2 linked regions of the Solanum lycopersicum genome follow. Each later gene encodes a partner of the first gene's protein in a complex. Links are inferred from orthologs where the notes say so. Each region holds a gene or a part of one and is shown in the gene's direction. Other genes may lie near its edges.

Region 1 (4,285 bases):
ACTGTACAGCATGATTATACTTGGACTCACTTCTTACATCCTTCTTCTAAAAAACAAATTATAAAAATATGGGATACTGAATAACCAATGGGAAAAAAAATCATAAATTTTTTTATTCATACATACACACATATAGAAAGAGATGATCTCTCCCTTTAAGACAGATTGGAACAAGGGATTATCAACTTAAAGCAATGGTTTTCTTAAACATCCTACAGAAATTTCAGCATCTATGTAATTAGTGCATCTGCTCCAGCAACAATTTCCAATATCTCACCTGTGATCTTCGCCTGCCTTTCCCGATTATAAGCAATAGAAAGGTTCCTCCTCAACTCAACAGCATTATCCGTTGCACTAGTCATTGCATTCATCCTAGCTGCAACCTCACTTGCAAATGACTCTTGAAGTGCCCTTAAAATCTGGCTATTCAAATATAATGGCATCAATGCATCAAGAATCTGAGCAGGATCTTGCTCATACTCTAAATTACGCAAAAATTCCCCCTTTTTCACCCTCAAATCCCTCACCACACTCAGTTTACCTTCCTTACTAGTCAACCTAAAAAACTCATCTTCATCAAAAAACTCCTCTCCTCTTAATGGGAGCAAAGTATGAATCACCGGATCAGATTTAATCAACGAAACAAATTTAGTGTACAAAAGCTCTACTTTATCAACTTGTTCACTAATAAACAAAGAAAAAACATCATCAGCTATAACCTGAGCCTCTTTAGCAGTCGGAAAACTCTCAAATCTATCAACAACAAATCTATCAACATTCCGAAAATAAGCATTACTCTTCTTACCAACACTAATCAAAGTATACCCAATTCCAAGACTCGTCAATTCCGCCATCCGGCTCTCTGCTTTCTTAAAAATCCCATTGTTAAAACCACCACAAAGACCTCTTTCACCTCCAATAACAACAAGGCCAACTTTCTTTACCGGTCTTATTTCTGTCAACGGTATATCTACCTCTTCAAACTGAAGCTGTTGGGTGATGTTGTACAACATATCAACAAGGGTTTCAGCAAAGGGTCGAGTACTGATGACTGCTTCTTGTGCTCGACGAATCTTAGCGGCTGCGACTAGTTTCATTGCTTCTGTAACTTTTTGGGTTTTGTTGATTGTGTCGATTCTTCCTCGTAGTTCACGAATACCACACTGAATTGAACGAAGGGGAAGTTGCAGGGATCGGAAACTAGGGTTTCTATTGGTTAGTTTAGGATCACAAATGGGAAAGTTGACGACATGACAAGTGAAAGAGAGTGAAGAAGCCATTGATTACAGACGACACACTGGAGAAATATACCCTACTTTAATTTGTAATTAGATGAGTTTTACTACTCCCTATTTAGTTGTCCTTCCATTTGACCATAAATTTTTCAAATTATTTTACAAATAATTTTTTTCATATAATTTATTATTTATTTGACAAATATTTCAAATTTTTAATATTAATTTTTAAGATTTGAGCCAAATCTCATTATTTGGAATTCTTTTTAAAATTAAAATTTTATTTCAAACTTTTATTTTTTATAAAAACGCCCTCTGTAATAGTTATTTGCATTATATTACATAATTCTTTTTACGTAAACACCAAAATAATAATATTCTATATTTAGTGAAAATTAAATAATGATATGATTGTTAATCATAAATTAGTAGAATCTACATTGTTTTATTGAATTTCTCACTTACAATTCCTTTTGTGAAAAATTCCTATATTTGAGGCAATAGAATGGATGTTCTTTGGCCAATTCTCTTTCACAGATTGTTTGTCGCACGTTTTGGTTTATTATAATTGTTTGTATTGATTTAGACAAATTATCTACTGAATTATTTACATTTTGTAGCAATTAGTTTGAGAAATACTTGAATTAGTTGCTGATGGCTGACAACGTTTATTCATTCAATTTTTGCATCAATTCTCCTTTCGTACTATTAAAGTTGATATTTTTACTAAATCTGCATTTTAAATAACTATGTTTGAGTATAACGGAAATATTTATTAGTAATACTATATTAATCCTAAAAATTAAAGAAGAAATAAAAAAATTATCCCTACCATTAATTTTTAATTTTGTTATGTTAGAAAAAACCAAAAATACTTTACTTTTAACAAAGTAAAAAACTCAAATAATATTTGAAGAATCAAAATCCAAGTCCAAAAAATTCAGTGATTTGAATTGAATCGCCGGAGAAATGGGAAGAGGTTTGGGTTCGCAAAACTTGCCGGCGGACGTCGCTCAGCTGATCGATCAGTTAGACCGCCATTGTTTAGCCCCTGATGGATCTCTCATCTCCAAATCCGCTCACTACGATCTCCAACTTGTATTTTCTAATCTCTCTACAATGCTTATTATTTGATCGTTAAGGTAAACCAAACACTCAAAAAAATGATTTATTTTTGGGCATTGCAGGCGAGAGAAGAGATGTCAAAGGAGAGACAACGATACTTGGAATCTTTGGTAGGATTTCTATTTTTGGGTTAACATTTTCATTTTTTTCCTGATTGCCTTTGTCTGGATAAACCTTATAGGCAATATACATTGAAGCAACTGCGATGGTAGAGGATTACCAGCAGGCCATTTCTGTGGCTAATCTTGGTGGTATGAGAGATGTCCAGGGTTTATACTCTCAATTGGGCTTGAAAAACCCTCCTCAGGTTCCACTTTTTTTCAGTTTATTCGATTTTATGGATGCTGTTTGGGTAAAAGGATTCTCTTTTTAGTTCACTGACATTACAGGCCTGCCTTGGGTATACGTATTTTGTGCACGATTTTTTACTAAAAGATTGCACGTACCGTCTAGTGCATGCTTATGCACACCCGTATAGATTGTGTACTGATAAACAAATTGATTATCAATAGATGAGAATGAATGATAAGTTTAAGGTGTTATGCATTGTACATTTTTTAGGCTCTGACGATAGAGTTCTGCAGACAAGTTTTTTTTTTTTTGGTTCATTGTTCAAATTGTTTTAAGTTTTCTGGGTGATTTTGGCTCTGGAATGACTTCAGGTTTATGAGGCTCTTGAGCATAGGATGGTTGTTGCAGAAGCAGCACAGAGATTGAGGCTTCCTCTTATCTCCAAAGACGGTGAGATTCACGAGGAGGAAATTGAAAAGTGGAGTACAATGTCAAGAAGTTCTTTTGATAGCACAAGCACCAGCATTACATTAAGCTCGAGCTCAAACTCAGCTTATCAAACCAATGCATCTGCAATTGGAGCTGTTCCTACTATTAGTACAACTGATTCAACAGAACCAGATGTTGGTGGTGTTCCCAATCGGTTCCTTGGAATTACACCTGCATATTTATGGCAAACTCAACTACATCAGATGTCATCAGTGGTATAATATACCTATTTGATTGACGTGATAACCTCATGGTCTTGTGGGGAAATCTTTTCTGTTTTCCAATTAATCTTCAATGAAAGTGTTGTAGTTGTCTTTTATTTGTGTACATTTATCGATGCTTTGATTGCTTGTTACCTACAAACGTGGAATCGCTATTCATCTGGTTATCAAGTGTTAGTTCTACACGCCCATAGATGCTTATATGTCTGCTATTGTAGGACGTGGCAGAATACCAGAGATTACTTTCACGGGAGATTGGTGGCCGGTTAGATGCTAAATGTGATAAGTTAGCTGATGCAGTTGCTATTGATGACATTGGTGAGTTTAAGTTGCTAATTTGTCTTCCTTTATCTTCCCTTGGTGCTTGGCCTTTCAATATGTTTGTTGGTTGCCGAATTTCTACTTGTTTTCCTCTTAAACAAAACCAGCGTTTATAAATAAGACCTGGACATCTATGTCAGTTTTATAATTAGCCCCTATATACATATTATTATTTGAATGGGTATAATATGTAGTCAATTTGATTGTAATGTTTCAAATTGTGGTGCAAATAGGAAAAATCTACTGCTGAGGTGCATAAGTTCTAGATTTACTTGTTATCCATTTACACAAAACTGTGCCCCATTGCTCCTCAGGGATTTCTTGGTTATAGTTTTTTCTTGATTTACTCATGTCAGTGTATTCTTCAGAGGCTGGTTGAGTAGTTCTCTTACTATTTAAGTAACAGAACTTTTAGAAGTTGTTGTTCTCATATCAAGATTTCTGTAAGAATACAAGTATATAACCTTACCTTGATTCTACAGATATATCTGCTGCCAGTCAAAATTCAGCTGCCAGACTTCCAGAGAGGTCTCTCCCTCTGAACTTATGTTTCTAAATTTATGATTTATCTGAATCATTTATAAAACAGGTTGTGCATGTTAT
Region 2 (3,658 bases), on another chromosome or scaffold:
ACAACAAGTGCATTACACTCACTTTATTTTTTTTTACTTATTGTCGAAAAATGTCTAATAGGAACAAGTTTTGAATAAATAAAAGTGTTCAATTGGTACTGGTCCTAGTTGAGGTGTCTAAGTGAATTATGATGACAACTTTAAGGGGCCGCATATGAAATAAGCCAACAATATATATATATATATATATATATATACACACACACACACTGACTACTAAAGAGTTTTAATCTCATTTGCGAAATATGATTTTTGTGGAAGATTGGGAAAAAACAACATAGGTATGTGAGAGAATTTTCACAGAATCTTATTTTATTAAATTCATTGCATTTGGCTAGCATAATATTGTGAATATCTTATTTGACATTTTAAGACTTTTTAACATTATATTCATCAGCATCGGTATTTACAATCAAAGATGGCCCAGTCCAAAATCTACAAGGAGTTGAAAAATTCATATTTTTTATGCATTCTTTACATAATTTATTTACACGGAATATAAAAGACAAAAACAGTTCCTATTTTCCTGTATAGAGCAGCTCATGTCTTCAAAGCACCTAGTTTTCCTTTCTTTCCACACAGTTCACCTCTTATACAAGCTTGGAAAAACATTCCACCATTTTTTCTGTCTAATACTTCCTGTCTAATTGCTCCAAGTCCACAAAAGATCCTTTGTATCTTTGGCATTACCTATTTAATAATTTAACCTCAGCCAAAGACAAGGATAGTTGCTAAATAGTTCAGTAACCTTTGCTATGCAGAAATAAATAGCTATGGTTCTCTGCCTCCTCCTGACACAAAAAACACCAAGAGCTCAGCTGTGTCCCCTTTTAACAGTGTAAACAGGCAACTTTGAATGGAGCCTCGACTTTCCAAAGAAATTTCCAAGGCCAGTCAGGGTGAATGGAATCAGTACCTGACAGAGAGTGATAGGCAGAACTGATTGTAAACCTTATTTTGCTGCTTCCATTCCAAACCACGGAGTCCTCAAAATTTCGAGGACCATGAAAGACCTCTTGTGTCTTCAGAATTTCAGCCATCCTTTCAATCTCCTAGTCATACAACAATCTTCTAAAAGAGATATTCCATTCCTGTTGACTCCATGCATCCTCAATTGTAGCTTCAGGTGTAGAGGCCAAACAGAACAATCTGGATATAATTCTTTTAAACGACCATGTCCTAACCAATTATCATTCCACAAGAATGTCTTCCTTCCATTGCCAATCCTGAATTCAATGTTTATCACAAAGTTCTCCCAAAATTTCCTGATGTCTTTCTTAATACTAACCCCAAAAGAAGAATTCACTGGTTTAGTGCACCACCATATTTTTGATTTATTGTCTTCCTCCAGAAAACATTATTTTCAGTATTATCTATTATGTCTCCATCCTTCCCTACGTAATAACGCACACCAATTTTAATCTGAGAAAAGTTGCCAATGTTCTAGAATTCCTACATCTCTTTTTCCCTGGGTTGATTGCTTTCCATTTCGGTGACACTATCCAAACAGCTAGTAACTACCCTGGTCTATCTGTAGTATTTTGTTTTCAAAATAAGCGAACTATAATTCTATAAGTTACCTTATAACCCCGAGTTTGAGCGAGCATGATGAAAGTCAAGAAAGAAAACTTAATTTCTTAGTAGTTACATTAGCCAGAGAATAATTAGAAGTGCAGAATATTCATAATATATGTCTTATAATTAAGAAACATAAATATTACAAAATTTTTCGCTGAAAACTCTTATATATTTTTTTTTGAGCAAGGTAAAGTTATATTCCTCAGCAATGTGGGTATGCTGTCAACCATCAAAAAAATTACAGTGCAAGTAACCATCAAAACTCTTATATTAGGAGCTCTTTGATGAGTTTTTAACCAGTTAATCTGAACAAGATTTTTCTGCTATACCACACCGTCAGTAATTAGTTCTTTTCTAAAAATTGCATAAGTTAACTTATCAAAAATGTAAAAATTGTATTAGTACACCTGTTTTTACAACTTCAATTAGTTCTCTAGATCGAAAAATTCCTGTTATTTTGCCAATATTGTTAATATCACCTCATTAAAACTTCTTAAAGCTGGCTTTTGAACAAACATGAAATCATAAAACCAAATTATTAGAAGTATCTCATTATATTTTAAATTCTTCCCTGATCTGATGTTTGTCATTGCTTTGATTTATCAACAAGAATGAGTATTGTTTTCATAATACCAAATCTCTAATTCTTTATTCTTCTGCTATTATGTGCACCATTGCTACACAATTTCAAAAGCACTTCAGCATTGTCAACACAAATTAAAAATATATAAACAGGCAACAACAATTCATGATACACGTACACACTGAATGTGGGACACTTTGCCGAAGAGCTACTGCTTAGTCCTTGTCTTTCCCTTTTGAAACTTAAACACCCAGTAAGAAAAACTAAGAGGAGGAGATGTTTTGATAACATAATGATTGTGGAATGCAGGATGCACCTATTTATTGTTGTAGGATGCAATCTTCAGTAGTCATTATGTGTGGGTTCTATGTAACGAGAGGAACATGAGAGCATTTGAAGAAGTAGATACTGATTTTGTTAAATTGCATTGTAGTCCTCTGTTCATGTTTCTTTTCGGTGTACCCTTGAAGTTCCTATGTGTGTAGATGACTGGATTGCTTTCTTAGAGAACCATACATATTTTGGTGTAGGTTGTCTGTGTTTCGGTATACTGCTTGTACTTGTATACGAGGTTGTCCGCCATCATTAATAAAAAAATTTACCTTATCAAAATAAGGATAACCTACATCTAATATTTAGTTGAAAGAGGAACTAACTAGATACTACATCAACTGTTCGCTTTAACGCGCCCTACTATACATTATCTACTTTGTAAAAACAGAGACTCGAAGTAGTTATATCACTGATGCATCCCTATGTATCCTGAGAGGAAGAACCCGGATGCTTCTATAATCTATACCACTCTTCTAGCTATTTAAAATAGTTCATTTGATCATTCAGACACATGACGAGCTAATAGATGTTGTATGTAATTGAATTGTGCAGAAACAATTTTCAGAATTGCTGATGAGGGCTGCCAGTGATTATGGAGCTTTGACGGCCTCCGTAACAGATTTTCAGTGGAGTCAGAATTTTAAAGAGCCACCAACAGTATGGGGGGTATGCACTTCTTCCTTTTTCAATCCTGCTGATAAACTTTTTCTTCATATATTGTCAAAATAAAACTAATTTGTCTTGATGGTTTGAGTTTGAAGCATTATTTGTAAAATTGTATATAATATGTTTTAGGTGGACACTATCATTTATTTTTGTATGTTGGTGTTCCTGAATCAGTAAAGAATAAATGGCATCATCATGTTAGCATATATCTGTTCTGGTGACAGTCAGGTCCTTGGCAGCTCATGTTTTATTCCCTATTTTTCTACTGCAAGAAGATATTGAGATTCATTTTGTGGAAGGTGTGTCACTCTAGTTCTAACTTCTAGATACACTTCGATGGAAAGAATATTGTAGAACTCAATAAGGAAAAAATAAAATAGTATGTGTAGTTTTAGTTAGTAGGAGCTATAGCTGTCAAATAGGGACGTAGATGTTGATGCAGCTAGATGTTGGAATGTTTGAATCTCTATAGAAGCAACACATTTGTATGTGCGTTCA

The links.
Region 2: AUGMIN subunit 4 (region 1) and AUGMIN subunit 2 share a complex: the UniProt entries of both Arabidopsis thaliana proteins name them as parts of the augmin complex. The link is inferred for Solanum lycopersicum from reciprocal best matches to the Arabidopsis thaliana genes AUG4 and AUG2.

The regions. Positions count from the first base shown.
Region 1 is NC_090811.1:422,768-427,052, reverse strand, and holds the start of AUGMIN subunit 4, read left to right. Parts: upstream 1-1,344; 5' UTR 1,345-2,204; coding exon 2,205-2,333; intron 2,334-2,422; coding exon 2,423-2,470; intron 2,471-2,541; coding exon 2,542-2,667; intron 2,668-3,022; coding exon 3,023-3,355; intron 3,356-3,579; coding exon 3,580-3,679; intron 3,680-4,164; coding exon 4,165-4,210; intron 4,211-4,285. Other genes in the region: ATP synthase gamma chain, chloroplastic-like, read right to left, coding at 231-1,280. UniProt on the Arabidopsis thaliana protein: Involved in microtubules reorganization during spindle and phragmoplast development.
Region 2 is NC_090807.1:4,192,879-4,196,536, reverse strand, and holds part of AUGMIN subunit 2, read left to right. Parts: intron 1-3,046; coding exon 3,047-3,160; intron 3,161-3,658. UniProt on the Arabidopsis thaliana protein: Contributes to the assembly of the acentrosomal spindle and phragmoplast microtubule arrays as part of the augmin complex.